2 linked regions of the Daphnia pulex genome follow. The protein of the gene in region 1 purifies or fractionates together with the protein of each later gene. This does not show direct contact. Links are inferred from orthologs where the notes say so. Each region holds a gene or a part of one and is shown on either strand. Other genes may lie near its edges.

Region 1 (8,463 bases):
CCGGAAGAGCCTCCATATCCAGCACTTCCACCTCCAGCACTTCCACGATAGCCGCCGCCACCACCACCACCGTAGGATCTCATTGCGCGCCCTGCAAAATCAAACAATTTAAAAACTCGTATTTAAAAAAACAACTAAAGAATTTAATCGATACTTAATTTTTTAATATTCTGAAATTCAAACAACAAGCTGTAGCATGGAAAATTTTACCTTGATCAAATAATTATGCAATTTACCTATTTAAATAAGAGTCAAAACTCCTTAACTACAACGGGACAGCCAAGAGTTTATGACTACTGAAATTGAGTTATGTTGCACACAAGTGGTATAAATTTAGGCACTAACAGTAACTTTTGAGCGACGACAAGAATAGCTATAAAATGATTTACCTGAAGAGCCCTTATTTAGGAAGAATGCATCCGTCTGGCTGATGGCAATGACTGCCATGAGAAGGCAATTGCACAGTAAAACCTGGAAATATCTTAATGTTATGTAACTAAAATTTGATAACAAGTATATTAGTTGCCTACCTTCTTCATTGCTACTACTTGAGAAGAAATACTAGATGTGTTCAAGTCTTCAGCTCAGTTCAGCGTCTGCTTTCAGTCATAAATCTTTTCTCCTTATATACGTCTTCACCAGGTCTTCGCCACTAATGACCACACTGCCTGAAATCTTTCTATTGGTCTTTCTTTCTTTTTTTCTGCGTGTTTGAAACTTCATGACAGTAAAGAATTGGAGGGTGAGAGAGAGCGCGACGATGCGCTTGTTGACTGAGGCTCAATAAGTAAGTGGAGTAGGGCCTTCTTCGATTCAAAAAAGGGCAACAAAAACCTAAGATCGCACTTTTCGGTCCTTTGCTGCGGCACAATCACATCAACAGCGGCAAAAGCAATGAGATTTTAAGGCATTAAACACTTTCGCTTTTTCAATTGTCCGCCTTCGAATGGGGTGTAGTAAGGACATTTCGATTTCTCTTTTTTATGCGCGTTCATGATGAAATGAGAATTCTCATCTTCAACACGACAAACAATTATTTCGACATTCAGTTCGTCGTTTGTTTGTTTGAAAGTCGGCGTCTCCCTCCGAAATGGTTTAATAAATTTGAGTTTGAAGTGAATAGATCATCAACATTCACTGTAAATAGATGCGAGAATCAACCGTTTGTGTCCGAATCAAAATAAATAGTCCATTCAAAATTTAAGCCGTTATCATTGTTTGTTTCTATTGTTTCTTGATGAGAATACGACCGTCAAAAAATTTGACAGACTGCTCATTTCGTCCAACTTTTATTATCATTGAAAAGCTTATCAGGTCATGCTTTCATATTTTATTCAAATTTTCTAGTTTTTTCTGTAATCTTCTTTTTTTAATCATTTATAAGAAAAAACTTAAGAAACTAACAAAACTAACAAAACTTAAAACTAACATTTATAAAACAAAGTTTTATTTTTCTTAAAAACAGAATATCCAAAGTCCAAATACTTGGCAACGTCACATTGCTCTGTTTTGACACAATGGTGTCAGTATTACTGACGTCGTGTCTGTTTTTCTTTTTTCATCATGCCTCAAGAATGGATAACCCTTAGACGAGAAGATATTCGTTTGCGAACTTTTAACGAACACTTCTCTGCCACATTTTTAAGCCCCCTCTTACTTGCTAAAGCCGGTTTCTTCTATGTGGGAGTTGACGATCAAGTTCAATGCGCGTTCTGCAGAGGAGTGGTTAGAGATTGGGAAATAAATGACGACCCAAGAAGAGAGCATCAACGTTTGTTTCCGTCGTGCGCTTTCATATTAGGTTGGTCTGTTAAATTCGGAAATTGCAATATGACATTAATTTGTGGTCCGTTGGTTAGGTTTACCAGTAGGTAATATACCTTTGGGTGAAAATCCATCCACTGTACATCTGAATGTAGAACGAACTGCTTCTCTACCTGTACCTCAGCAGTTGAACATAGGATTTGGAGCTACCAGGCAGTTTACTTCACAATTTAGACCAAATGCCTCACCAGACACTGGTATGACAACCACTAATTACTTCATTATCTATTTGGTTTACAATACAATTTTGTTTCATAGAATTGAGATCTCCAGACAGTATGCAATTGAATGCATTAGTAGGAGAAAATTTGGAAGAGTTGGGCATAACTAAACATAGCGGACCTCGGTATTCCTCATATGCTACTTTGGATGCACGACTTAAAAGTTATAATAACTGGCCTTCCCACCTGAAGCAAACTCCAAGAGCAATGGCTCTATCTGGTTTCTTCCATCTTGGTACAAATAGCACAAAAAATTCTGGTTTTATTTTGTTAATTTAATTTATGGATTTAGGGACCAACGATCATGTCAATTGTTTTCATTGTGGATCGGGCTTAAGAAACTGGGAACCAGAAGACGACCCATGGCTTGAACACGCTCGATGGTTCCCTCAGTGTCGCTTTGTTATGCTGATGAAAGGAGAACAGTACATTAAAGAAGCGACAGAATCCATGTCCAATCATCCTAAAGCCAAGCCTTCCCTGTCGGCATCAGTGGGAAATTCACGTGCCTCACCAAGAGAGGCTTCAGAAGCTGATCTGCGAAGTTTACTAGGAACTCCCATAGTTCAGACTGTTCTAGCAATGGGCGTTGACCTTTCTCGTGTTAGGCAGGCCCTAAAATACCAAATTCGTACTACTGGGCAGCCTTTCAACACAGTTGATTCGCTTCTTGAGGCAGCTATTGAAATTCAGCATCACAGCGAGCATCGCCAGTCGTTGGAAGATGGCAAGTAAGTCTTTTGCGTGTTCACTTCTCAACTCGAATTAGACATTTCATTGATTCCTTTCACCCTTCTTAGCTATGAAGATGTGGACTGGCCGTCAGCTGTACCTTCCTCTTCTCGTCGACGTGTAACATCAACTGGATATACCCTTGTAGAACTTCCCGTTTCTCTAAGTACACCGAGCGATGAACATAGAACAAATACCAATGAGAACGTACCAATTGTACCATTGGTTTCGGAAGTAAGATCTGAAACCCCGCTTTCGCATCGGGAAATGGATACTCTTAGTAAGCCAGAAAATCCTGAAAAAATAAAAGAACAAAGTTGTGCCCTAGAGGTATCAGCTTCATGTGAAACATCCACACAATCCGTCGATAGAAGTAATGTATTAATTTTCAGACATTTTGAAATAATTAATTTGACCAACATTTTATTTGTTGTAGCCCAAATTTTGGAAGAGGAGATTCGTCGCCTGAAAGAAGCTCGTCTCTGCAAAGTATGTCTTGACGAGGAAGTGTCAATTGCATATATTCCTTGTGGACACATTGTGACTTGTGTCCAATGCGCGGCAGGTAAACTACAATATTTTGATCAAATAATGTTACTAAAATTTTAGCGTTTTAATAAATTTTTTTTTTTTTTTAGCTCTCGAACACTGTCCTCTTTGTCGAAAAAATATTAAAGGAACAGTCCGCATCTTCTTGTCTTAAGTAGTTCATTTGGATTCGTCTAAATGAATTGGCGATCGCAAAGACGAACTATAGATATTTTCTGAAGTACAGTTCTAAGTTCTGGAACAACTTAGTACTTGTAAATTTAAAAAATTCCACTGTTAATAAGTATTTAGTATGGATTTTTGTTTATTATTTAAATTCTTGCAAATGTTCTTGCAAACCCACCGGCTTTAGTTTAAAAAATAAACGGAAAGTTATTCAAATCTCAAATAACTCAAGTTCGAAATATTTCAGTGATAGCAAGAAGCTTCTGGTATTCGATGGCCACTTCAACCGTGAAACCGTGAAGGTCTCTTTTCAACCGAAACAGGAAGTTGAATGTTAAAGGTGCGAGTGCGTGTATGGCCAATAGTCAAGTCTTGCGTGTTCACCAAGCATCACGTCCTAGAGTAAGGTCTGTAACATAATTTCAGAACAAAACAAACATTTTAAAAAAAGTTAAGATTCGCAATAACAAAGAACGCGTTCGTTTCGCTGTGTGCATTGCCAGTAGACAAAAACAAGCCTTCATTCCTAAATATCTTATCGATGTGATTAGGCCTACTGTCTCTAACTGTTGAGTGTAACCCACTTGTTAATTTGATATGCGTAGCCACTAACGAATAACGGTATTTGATTTCCAGCAGGCAATGTGTTCTCCCAAGGCGGCGGTTTTCTTCATCCTCCTTGTTCATTCGATCAGGTCGGACAGTCATGGTGACCTCGAAAAATCAAATAGTAAGTTCCTCATTCGTGCATGTACTTACTTCTCTATTATCAAGATGAAATCAGGATGCCATTTGTAATTATATGATATTCATGAACGAATCAGGATTTAAAAGAATCGTTCTCGGCAATGGATCAGCAATTCTTCCTCCTCGGCCATTACCCATTGGAAACTTGTCTAGCAATCATGGAGAGGCAGATTGCTACTTTGTTGGCACTCATTTCTATTGTATTAGTCAATTCCTGGTACTATATAGCCTATAATGAATGAATGAGTGGGATCCTACCGGATGAAAGTTTTAAAGACTTAAAATTTTTAACAAGTTTCTCAAGTATGCATGATTTTCTATGGTTGTAGGCTAGTTTCGCGGAATCAAACCATTATTGTCGTGAAGAAAAAATGCAACTTCTTTATTTGGAAAACGAAGAAGAGCATGAATACCTTTACAATTTCATGAGCAACAACTACCACAGTAAGCTACTCACATTTCGTAAACCTTAACTAATTGTTTTATTTGTCCGTGTAATAATTTAATTTAAAATAATCTTTTAAAATACTCAAGTTTCGGCGGGAAAATTCCTTAAAAAGAATGACTTCGCAAGTGAAGAAGTCTACTCTAATTATGTCTATGATAACATCAGTCCAGGAATGTTAGTGAAATGCGTTTCAGTGGTTTGTTGTCGTCAAATTATTTTCATTGTACCGCCGACTATGCTAAAATTCCTTACTTATTTTCATTTATAACTTCAGTGTGGGCGCCAAATACGGCCTTCCATAGACGAAGGCAGAGTGTTAGATTATGAGGATCGGGAATACATCGGTTTAGCCATTAAAGTGCAATGGAAGACGGGTATCGTTCGCTGGTATCCCGCCCAGAATCTGCAAATGGGTGGCTTTCGAAGTCTGAATAGCTCAAATGTACGTCGGCCGTCCGAAGGAGTGTTCACACTGGAAGAAGATATATTTGAACCAGGCGATAAAGTCCGCATTCATATTTCTTCGGACATTTCAGATTTAGATCAGCAAAGAATTTCGCAGCAAGTTCAACCTGGTGAAGTTGGAATAATATCAGGTTTAATCGCAATCTTTTTATTAATTGCTGGGAGTTGAGGTAAAAATCGTTTTTTTTTTTAAATTGTTGCAGATTTGGACGCTGCTGGTGGAAGTGGCTTGGTTTACTTTCCAAGCAACAAGGGATGGCGGGGCCCCTTGTCTTTGTTAGAAATAGTTGATAAGCGCAAAGGTACAGCACATTATTTATTTTCGCCTATATTTTTAAATTAAATGATTTAAATGGTTAATTTCTATATTTAAGCATCGGGAACCTTCTGGACATCAGGAAAGAAAAACAGTAAAGGAGACGGGTGGATCTGGACAAATAACAATGAACTTGTGACATTCACCAACTGGGCCCTTGAAGAACAAGAAGCTTTACTTATAAAGGGAAACTGTCTCGAAATTAAATATCACAAACAAGGCAAATGGTTCTCTTCAAGATGCTCTGATCGTAATTATTTTATTTGCAAAAAATGACATAACAATTGCTAAAATTTTCAATAAACAACATGCAAGAAGAATGCTTATTAGGCCTATATGTTTTATTATTTTTTTATTAGCGTGTTATTTATTTTTATTTGTTGAACTGGTTGAACAGTCTTACAGTCATGGTCAATGACTCAATGTGCTATTATTCTCTATGGCGCTGCCTTCTGTCCATTTCATACTACTTTCTCAGTTCTCTCATGGTTTTCACCACCAGATGACAACACACTACAAACATGGTAACATTTCCGCCTTTTCGGACTATTTTCTAGGATCAGAGGCCCATCTGTTATTTTCGCTGAACCTGGACGCCCGTACGTGCAATCACAGCCATTATCCATAAGAAGCAGATTAGCATTCACATGCTAAAAAGGTATAACAATTTTATAAATTTGGCCCAATTGAATTTGAAATGTCAATCTAATGTTTTGATTCATTTTAAGCTATTTTTTCAGTTGTTGAATTTGATGGCATTGTTGCATAACGTTCCTCTTCGGTCTTTTCTTGCATCGTTGAAAAGGAACGCCATTTCTTTAACCTTCCCTCTTATTGCTGCCGGTCTCATCTACTCTGATTATTCGTACACTCAAAGGTGTAAAGCACGAGACATCGCCAGAAACCAAGAACTAAAAAACCTTGAAAATGTCGATTATGAGTAGAGAACTTTCTATGACATGGAAATATTTGATGAGGCCGAAAAATGCTATGGCCATCGTCCCACTCATTGGCCTTTACGTTGGATGGAAAATTGAAAAAATTGAGTATGACAGACTTTCATTGTTTAAAGATAGAAGTGCCCTGTTTGGAAGGGAACATGGCCCCGACTACAAGCCTTCATGGTGATTTGTGAAAATGTAGAAAATGTAATGTAAACATCAATAAACATATAGAAGTCATTAAATTTATTGTTAATTAACCATGTTTACAAAAATGATTCATATGTATTCAAAATTTTTTCATTTGCTTTCTTATTAAAGCCATTCGTTGTTTGTGAGCTTCGGTCACTGGAGCCCTCTTGTATGGCCTAAGCTCATCTGTTCCAAATCCTGGGATCCACATATTCCATTGGCGTTCTAAATAAATTAAAAACTTAATAAAAGTAATGTATTAGGAATTACACCAAAGAATCACACCTAGATGCATTTGGACATCAGTCACATCTAGTGCTGTTGCTTGTCTGTGCTTAGCCAGTTGGCAGGAAGCATTTACTGTAGATTCAATGAAATCATCAGCAATTTGCAACAAGAGTTCCTCAACTTCTTCATCTAGTTGTTCATTGGGGTCTACTTCTCTGACCAAATCTTGAAGTCTTCCTCTTGTAAGAACCTGTGATACCACCATTCCAAATCATGACATTATATTTTTGGCAAGCTAATAAAACTGAATAGAGAAATCTTGGATAAATATTTACTTGGTTTTCAGAATTTCCTCCACCAGTCGAACTCGAATTCTGTGCATTTGAATAGCTTGTTGATGACGTAGAACCTGAAGTATTCTGAGACATTTGTTGTGATTTTTGAGACAACCGTGAATCCGGTCAATTTAAACTATACGAATTACTGGGAGCTCACAAATTGTTCACAAAAAGTAGCAATTTTTTTTTTAGAATTTCCAACATCAGATATTTCAAGGCTGTGTAAAGTGGTAAAATAAAATGGACTACAAAAATAATACGAGTAAATACTGTATATCTATAATAATCAGGCCGAGATGGCGAGATCTTACTGTCGAACTTCCCACAAAAAAATGTAGTTCAGAGACACCTAGTGGAAATTCCAGTCGGAAATTTGAAATGAGAATAGAGCAGTCTAACATCCACGTTTCACAAATTTGTGTCCAAAATGGCCCAATCAGCGTAAGCGTTTTAAAGATGCTGTACGCTGATTGGCCATTTTGGTCACAAATTTGATGGTAACGCAGGATGTTAGACTGCTCCATTCTCTGCGACTCTGCGCTTTCTTCGAAACCCGAAAAACCGCACCGATTTTGTTTTGTTTTGTTTTAGAACCTTAGTTGACCTTAGAAACATTATTTGAAGATTTTATTATAAATTTGCTCTGTATGGTGTTTGCGGATTGTTTAGACTAATTAATCTTTTTCGTAAAGCATTCTCGCGCATTCTCGGAAAAAAAAATTACTACCGGAGAAGATAACTTGGAATAAACACTGAAACGAAGGAACTTCGACCATAAATTAGTAGATGATGATTTCGAATTGACTTTCGCTCAACGATCTTTTAATTTGTAGTATATACAATGAGTCATTTCAAAATTTTGTTTACGTTGGCTAGTGTAGCCCATTTTCGGTATTCTTGGACACACGAATTTAATATGAATATGAATCCGAATTAATTTCGTTTTAACTTTTAACGAGTGTAATTTTATCGGTGAAAGTCTACTGTATAACACAATTTGGGTGAGAACTCGCAAGCAAGCAATTAGCAAGGCTCTTAAATGAAAAAAAAAGTTAAAACGTCGAATGAAGACAGTTGCAGTATGAAGTACAATTTATTACAATCAGAATGACAACAGAAACAAAATCAAAATCAGGTATTACAAGTCGGTTTAAACCGAACAAAAAAAAGTAAATTTAACTGTTTAACAAATTCCAGTTGAAGATGGGAAGTTCTGTTATTCAATTTTACTCTGGTTTTGCCTGTATTGCTACCAATTGCATAGCCGTTATAAAGCTTGTGTCAACAGGTTTTGAAA
Region 2 (7,958 bases), on another chromosome or scaffold:
TAAGCGTCAAAATGTTTTTGATGCGTGTAGTCCGAATCACAAATTGATAGCACGTACAAAGACAAGTCTAATTCAACGAAATCTGTAGATTGTGTGTCGACACTGTAGGTGAAACTACGCTATCTTTCTCCAGTGATAAATGCATAACGGTTTGATGCACATTTTTTCCCTTTTTCTCTTTCTACCGCTACTGCTTATAGAACGGAGAAAGAGATTGGTGGCAAGGTAGTCAGTACGTGTCAAGCCACAATTAGACAAAAATGCAGTTCACATTTCAGATGAATATGTTCTGCGCAAGGGTGCAGTAGCATTTAAATGTAAGGTATTACACAACAAGGAGCGGGACTGTCCAAACTGCCTACAGAACTGGGAGAATGTTTTGCAGGCTCTCAGCAACCCTTTAAAGGCACCTTTCTTGCAGAAATTGGTGGAAAACCTGGATTGGTTAGTATTCTTGTCATGAAAAAAAATGAAACTTGTAGCTCCAATTTGTCTACTAAAAAAATTCCCACGCGAAACATCGTTAGGCCTATCTCACGCAGGTAAAACACTACTTTGGACCGGGGTGATCCAGTACCTGGCGTACTGTATATCGAATTAATTTTTCTTTTTTGATCAATTTATTAGAATGAGAAATAGAGGAAGTGACTGACGCTACCCCCCCCCCTGTTTTGTGAACGCACTCTTTCAAAATCCTCCATGTTGGCACCCAGTAACCATGGAGATTCGCACCGAGGGAAGAATTCTACTATCCCTTTTCTTCCCTCGGGCCGATTTTCCATGTTAACTGGGTGCAACATGGCGAATTTGGAAAGAGTGCCATCATGAATGACACATTGTCATTGGCAACCATCTCTTCATACCCCTGCTTAGGGCTGTGGCCCGGAGGTATTTGGGCGTGTTTTTTATTTCATGGGTTGCCCAGATGGGTTTTTTTTTAACACGGGTTTGAGCGGGTTGGGTCAATAGCGTAAATGGGTCCACCCTTGGTTGGGTCAATGGCGTAAATGGGTCCGCCCCGTGTCGCCCAACGGGTCACAAACAATTTACCGTCTGGGTCACGGCCCGGGTAAAAATCGTGTAAAAAGACTTTTTTTTTACAAATTTTAAAAAATTCCCTAAATTTCTAAATTATCTTCTTTTTCCAACAGCGACACGTCAACGCTGTCTTCTGAACACCCCTGAACGCCCTTTTCTACCATTTATCCTAATTTTCATGCTACGAAATTCTCGCGGAGTTGCGGCAATATTTTTAGTCTTTCTTGGGGCCGCAGGCATATTGAATAACGAGATTCCCTATGTGAGTACTAGATGGCGCCACCCCTCGGGTTGGCCCGTGGAACCGGTGGTTCAACCCGTCCGCCCCGTACAAAAATGCCTGGGTGGGTTGATATATTTTGGGTTTTTTTTTTCTTTACCCCGGGCTGTGGCCCGGGTTTTCATGGCCCCGGAGTCCGGGCTGTGTCCGGGGCCCGGACACAGCCCTGGGCCCTGCTCCGGTACACCGTATTAGAGCTATAGAATACTGGTACCGCCACTCATATGGCGAGCCCTTCCATTGCTTTTTTTCTCTGGAAGTGAAGCCTGCTGCTTGCCTGCCCATGGACTACTAAAGCTAGAGGACGGGACACTTCGTCAATTCCTATGTCGCCTACCATTTTTTTTTTGTTACAGTAATCAATAGAGCTTTAGAAATGAGCTATAGTCTATTAAATTATCCCTATGCGGGAATTATTTAATTTCGGTGATATTTTAATTAGAAATTGACGTAGGTGCTCGTTAGTTGTCGCCGCCTAGCGGTGATTGTTGGTTTACCACTCTATGATTCTCTGGTTTTGTTTTGGTTTAGTTTGATTAGGTGCGTCTGCTATCTGTGATTCTCTGGTGATTCTCTGGATTCTGTTTGTTTTCTTTCTAAAAACCATGGAAGAGTTTAGAATTCTGAGCGCTAGGTGGAGACAACCAACGAGCACCTCTCCCGTTCCCCTCAAAATTTAAGCGCAAATATCTTTTTTTTTAATATCTTCACAAGAAAGGTGCTTTGGAGACTTAGAATAGCTTTTTAAATCTCTATCGATTGACCCTTCTTAAAAAAATATGATTAAAAATCCACCCGACAAGCTATAACATGGCGGGATAGGACGAGTGTCCCGTCCTCTAGCTTAAGTAGTCCATGGCCTGCCCTGTCCCGTAGCTGTAAGCGCCACGGCGGGTGTGTGGGGAAATAGGGTATAGGAATAGTATAGGAATGGAGGGAAAAGTGGAGGAGTAGTAAGAGTCGAGATCGATATCTTAGCTCCGATTTTCACTATCGATTGCTAAAATTGGCTTCAACCCAGAGCTATGATGATGGTAGAACCACTGCCTGTAAAATTTTCCTCTCGGAAATTTTTCCTAAAGTTGCAGCCAATATCGCGAATCGAAAGTGGGAAAATGAGCTCAAGTATCGATTTAGACCTAATTGTCAGCGCCAACAGCGGCCATCTACTGAAACTTTGTTAATTTTTTGCTTGCTTGACAGGAAAACGATGACAACACTCGTGGTGGGAATTGTTGTATTTAATAAGACAAAATCATAGACTAAGTTTAAGTATGAATAACTAAATAAAAAGTCCTATTAACACCATAATTCAACGATCAATTCTTATACGCTAGGATGTTCTTTATTTTTTAATAAAAATAGAAAAAACTTAGGTCCTATAGTTTATAAGTTATCGTCACTTTACTTAGGGACTATCGGGCATAAGAGCCCGTGTTAAACCTTTTTGGCGGCACTGTAAATTTTTAAAAATGTAACAACTTCTAAATTATACAACTAGAATGCCGTTCGACAGAAAACATTCATATTTGGTGATATGATGTAGCCTATCACAAGGTATCATTTCATGACTTTCTTTTATTTTTAATATTTTAAATTCTGTATTTAATTTATAGTTAAATGAAATTTTTTATTTAAATTCAATATTTTTAATAGTAAATATAATTATTTCTTCGGAGGGTTTTGAACAAGTATTTATTACCTTGATAGTAATAAAGTTCATTAAAAAAATCAATTCTTGCAGTTTGTTCTAGGTTAAAATATAACTTTACTCCACTATGGTTATACATCTATAACTCTGCTTCAACCCCAGAGAAAATTTCCGAGAGGAGTTAACATGGCAGTGGCGCTAGTTACCAGTATTCTATAGCTCTGACCAGAGCTCTGCCATAGATAAAGAAGACTGGTTTCGCATGTCCTATCCTTTTAGCCCTATCCCTACTGACCCCGAGTTTCTGTTTTGCTTGTCCTGCCCCTAGCGGATAAACTGCTGTACTGCACCGTGGCTACCAAGGGTGTTGCAGACGAAAGTTGTTTTCCTTCTGTCTTGGTAAAATTCTTTGCTGGCGTTTAAAAGTTCTAGGTAATTTTTTCATACAAATTTTTACTTAAAAGTCATTTTGTATTAAATTTTGACGTTTGCCAATTGCAAAAGTAGAGAAATCAATTGAATGATTGCAATGGAATAGATGTAAGCAGAGTGTAGAGAACAAAACGTACACTAGAGGGCAGGACAAGCAAAACAGAATCGGGAAAATCGGAGGAAGGGTAGCAAGAATTCTGGCGACAGTTGGCCATGTTAATTTTCTTATGGACAGCATCAACCAGTGGTCTTTGTCTATGGCTCTGCTCTGACCGTATTTTGGGATGAACAAAATTAAGAGTGGCAACCCTGCCTTGAACCATAACAGTAGCTACAATTCATAAACAGTACAAATGTCTTCGATTTATCGTATGATAAAAAAACTTACTTTTATAAACCGAAAGTTTGCCGTCCTTCGTTATAATTCCCTTAAAAGTCGAAATGAATTTTTGCAGAAATACTGTTGGTGTAATATATCGTGGAAGTTAGCAGGAGTTGCCTTAGGAGCTTTCCTGTTCGAGTTCCATTTACACAATAATAAGTTGTTTGCCACTTCTAAAAGTTTGGATTCATTTCATAATAACTTATTTTATTATTTGGGTCATTATCCATTTTCATTTGATTATTGGATTTTAAGGTGGTGAACTTAATGATGAAAGTCCAAGAAAAAAGTGTAATTTCATTGCTGATGTTGTTGAAAAAGTGGCTCCTGGAGTTGTTTTTATTGAAATCAAATCAAATTTAAGGTTTCATGCAGTTATTAAAATCTAATTTTCTTTTGAATCACATTCAACCAACTTAATACTCACATTAAACAAAATTTAAATTTCACATTATGTTTTGCAGGAATTCTTTTTACAATTTTAGTGCTCCACAGCAGACTGTGTCTCATGGGTCAGGTTTTATTATTGAAGGTGATGGATTAATTGTAACAAATGCACATGTTGTCCTTGGACAACCAAATAGTTCGGTACAGGTAAATCATTATGGATGAAATGATAGAGTAAATACTGTATAAAATTGATGGTGAAGTATTAAACACAATGAGTAGGCAAGGAAAAAATTATGCCCTCAATAATATGGAAATTTGTATCTTTAGGTTAAGCTTCATGATGGAAGAATGTTCCAAGGGATTATTGAAAATATTGACACAGTAACTGATCTTGCTACTGTGAGAATTCAATGTGTAAGAAAAACAGCAGCATCTGTTAAAGATGATTATCTCACAAAAATAACATCTTATTGGTTCCTGTAGAAAGGATTACCAACTCTGAAGCTTGGTTCCTCATCTACTGTCAGACCAGGAGAATGGGTAGTTGCAGTTGGCAGTCCTTTATCTCTAACAAACACCATCACTGCTGGAGTGGTATCCTCTATTAATAGGTAAATAAAATAGTGTAGCCTATGTTTAAAAAGCTAAAAGGTATAGCCTATAATTCTGTAAATCTCTTTCTAGGGGAAGCTCAGAGCTTGGATTAAATAAAGGAAAAGAAATGGAATATATTCAGACTGATGCATCAATCACTGTAAATTTAGCAATAGTCATTGTTCTTGTATTTTTAAAAACACAATAACATATGGTCTTATTTTCAGTTTGGTAATTCGGGGGGCCCACTCATTAATCTCGACGGAGAAGTAGTTGGTGTCAACGCTATGAAAGTTACTGCAGGCATTTCTTTCGCAATTCCCATCGATCATGTAAAAGATTTTCTCTCCATTCTCAAGAATTGTTCTTCAAATAAAGGAGTAGAAAAAGGTATTATTCTTTATTAATTTTATGTGTTACAAAGATATTTATATCCAAGATCCTCAGTGTTGTATGTGATTATGTTTTTCCATATATTTTTGTTGTTGCTGTTAGAAAATACTGAGAAGGAGTTTAAACGTCGTTATATGGGTGTTACATTGTTGACTCTTACTACCGAACTGATAACCGAACTACAATTGAGGGGTACTGAACTTCCACCTAATGTAAAACATGGTGTGTTGGTATGGAAAGTTGTTCTTGGAAGTCCGGCACATTGGTAAGACTACGCTAAAATTGTATTGTTTTTTTTTCAAAGATGGATTGATATAAAGATTTTAATATAGGGGAGGACTTCAGCCAGGTGATGTCGTTGTGTCGATAAACGATAAACCTACGATAAATTCTCAGGATATTTACAAAAATCTTGAAGAAAATGAAAGTCAAATTAAAATATCAGTCATCAGGAAACGAGAAATGATTAATTTCCTTATTTCCTTGGAAGATTGATCAAATTAATCTTTTCTGTTTGATTTGTCATGCAAAGAATAAAATTTTAAAATCAACATGAATTTCAATTCTTTTGTATACTTGCAGCTCCAAGAGTTTTTAGTCTGATTTGAGCTTTTGAGGTAGTGATTGTGGAAAAAATTTTGCCCCGCAAGAAGTTTGAATAATCGAATAAGCATTTTTGGCGGGCACATAGTCATACAAGCACTCAGAGCCATCTACTGTTAACAAAATAACTAAATATTGGCGGTGGAATGGAGGTTGTTTGCAGACGGCTCAGTTTGAAATCTCCGGCGTGAAGTCTCCCAGTTTACTAGTTTGCCTCATGAGATTATCTGTTTAATGTTTGTATCAATTGCACTGCTTTTCAATACAAGAGAAACCATCTCTTTGTGTGACAAGAAAGATGAACAATGATGTGAATAATGAGAAGAATTCTGACAAAGCAGGGTCTGAAAAGAAGTTCATCCAAATTTCTCCTGAGTCCATTCAGCTCATTGCTGATTCAGCTGGGTATCCAAATGTACCATCAATTCTTTCAAAAAGTCTTGCTGAAGATACTTCGTATAGATTGAGGGAATTAATACAGGTATAGATATTTTTCTTCTTTTATCATAACTTATCAATTTCAATTGATTGAATGCTTCTTAGAGCTGCAGTCAGATTTTACGTCACAGCAAACGATCTAAACTAACCAAGGATGATGTTAACCTTGCCCTTCGTTGGAGTGATGTTCCACAAGTTCATGGACCCAATTCTACTCCAGAGGATTTTTTGTATTTACCAGAGTTTGATATTTACAGTTCTTTAGACAGAGTAGTGGAACTCACACAGGAATATCCCATTGAAACAGATGTAGAAGTTTACTCTCCTATGAAATTGACAATCCAGTATCTTGCTTTAGATTCTGAAGACAAACTACAACCAGAGATTTATTTTCAATACTTTGAGAAAATTTCTCAGTCTTTACTTAGCACTTCAGAATATGTTGTTAAGGTGAACAGCAGATTGTGTTCTTACAGGTTTACTTAATGGTATGCTTTATCAACTGAAATTTGTATCAAACTGTAGGTGGCTTTGGCCAACTTGCGTGAGAATCCCAAACTGCAGCCCTTGATGCCTACCCTTTCTGGGTTTTTAAGAAATTTAGTTGGGTTCACCAGTGAAAATTCTCATGTTGTCAGAAGGATTCCCAGAATTTTCAATGCACTGTTGAACAATCCTCATCTTCACATTGGATCAGAGGTAGTCACAACACACAATCCATTAAAATATCTATACTGTTGGAATTTTAAAAAAAAAAAAAAAAAAAAAAAAAACTTTTTTACTTATTCAGCAGGAATGTTTCCTTCAGTTGATACAAGATCTTATTTTGAATCATGGAGGAGAGAAATTAGACGACAGCATCTTCCAGCTGATCTCTAGCATTTTACACATTCTAGCCAAAGTATTTATTTTAATACCTTTAACAAAAGTTCTGAATGCTTAAAATTCTTTGTGATTATTCAGTTGTCAATCGATGGCTCAGTCCAAGACGTTGTTCAAAACTTGAAACGTGTCATTGCTGACGCTGATCGTCACATCAGTGTGCAATGTAGGGCATTGATGGCCTTAAGGTGCCTAAGCAGTAATTATCTGGATATTGCCACTGCGGAACATTGGAATGCCTTATTAAATAAACTTTATGGAATGGCCGAAAGTGACAAGGATGTCCTCTACCTGGAAGATGCTTTAATTGTATTGTTATTTTTAGTGTGCATATCATTTTACAATGTTTATTTATGTTTCTTTTCCACTCTTAAAAAATTTAGAGTGCTGTCATTGATGTCCTGCGCTACAAGATGAGAATATTGGAGGAAACCGCAGACGCAGATAAAAGCAGTTTGATGCCAGAGCAGTTATGGAATAAGGGATGGGAAATTTATCGACTAACCAGTGAACTGATGGGCTCATCGGTACTTCGCATCGGTCATTTTCCATTATCACTTTGCCAGCAAGTTCAGAGAGATCGTGCCGAGAAAGTTGGTGATTCCTGTGATGAACTCTACTGGACTTTAAAGACACTGCATAAGCCTGTACCTCAGTCCAGATGGCGATACAACCTCAACGGAAAACCTCACGATCCGCCAGTACCTATCGATCTCTTTGATGTCTTTGATTATTCTGACAGGAACCCTCTTCGAATGGCTAACATAAATCTCCGTGTCAGAAACTGGAAACAACGACCTGTGCAATTGTTGAAGAAAAAGGTATCGCCCTGCGTTAAGGGATCACCTTCCAACTTTGCCATTTTATCTAATTCA

Evidence for each region. Proteins that work in one complex are often made in the same cells at the same time.
Region 2: the proteins of baculoviral IAP repeat-containing protein 7-like (region 1) and serine protease HTRA2, mitochondrial-like purify together in Homo sapiens (affinity purification with mass spectrometry; 4 studies listed by BioGRID and IntAct, counting the BioPlex papers as one, with this or other methods). This does not show direct contact. The link is inferred for Daphnia pulex from reciprocal best matches to the Homo sapiens genes BIRC2 and HTRA2.

Annotation. Positions count from the first base shown.
Region 1 is NC_060023.1:3,932,683-3,941,145, forward strand, and holds baculoviral IAP repeat-containing protein 7-like, read left to right. Parts: upstream 1-1,488; 5' UTR 1,489-1,563; coding exon 1,564-1,801; intron 1,802-1,859; coding exon 1,860-2,021; intron 2,022-2,082; coding exon 2,083-2,280; intron 2,281-2,337; coding exon 2,338-2,776; intron 2,777-2,845; coding exon 2,846-3,342; intron 3,343-3,415; coding exon 3,416-3,480; 3' UTR 3,481-3,714; downstream 3,715-8,463. Other genes in the region: loricrin-like, read right to left, coding at 1-91, 390-471, 531-539; uncharacterized protein LOC124198279, read left to right, coding at 4,134-4,221, 4,316-4,455, 4,568-4,700, 4,773-4,882, 4,961-5,282, 5,355-5,453, 5,526-5,743; uncharacterized protein LOC124198280, read right to left, coding at 6,698-6,825, 6,886-7,078, 7,164-7,247. UniProt on the Homo sapiens protein: Multi-functional protein which regulates not only caspases and apoptosis, but also modulates inflammatory signaling and immunity, mitogenic kinase signaling, and cell proliferation, as well as cell invasion and metastasis.
Region 2 is NC_060026.1:11,303,833-11,311,790, reverse strand, and holds serine protease HTRA2, mitochondrial-like, read left to right. Parts: upstream 1-3,702; 5' UTR 3,703-3,754; coding exon 3,755-3,962; intron 3,963-4,038; coding exon 4,039-4,147; intron 4,148-4,247; coding exon 4,248-4,377; intron 4,378-4,500; coding exon 4,501-4,587; intron 4,588-4,656; coding exon 4,657-4,784; intron 4,785-4,857; coding exon 4,858-4,927; intron 4,928-4,994; coding exon 4,995-5,157; intron 5,158-5,262; coding exon 5,263-5,425; intron 5,426-5,492; coding exon 5,493-5,655; 3' UTR 5,656-5,711; downstream 5,712-7,958. Other genes in the region: TAF6-like RNA polymerase II p300/CBP-associated factor-associated factor 65 kDa subunit 6L, read left to right, coding at 6,062-6,244, 6,307-6,651, 6,727-6,900, 6,992-7,102, 7,165-7,392, 7,467-7,958.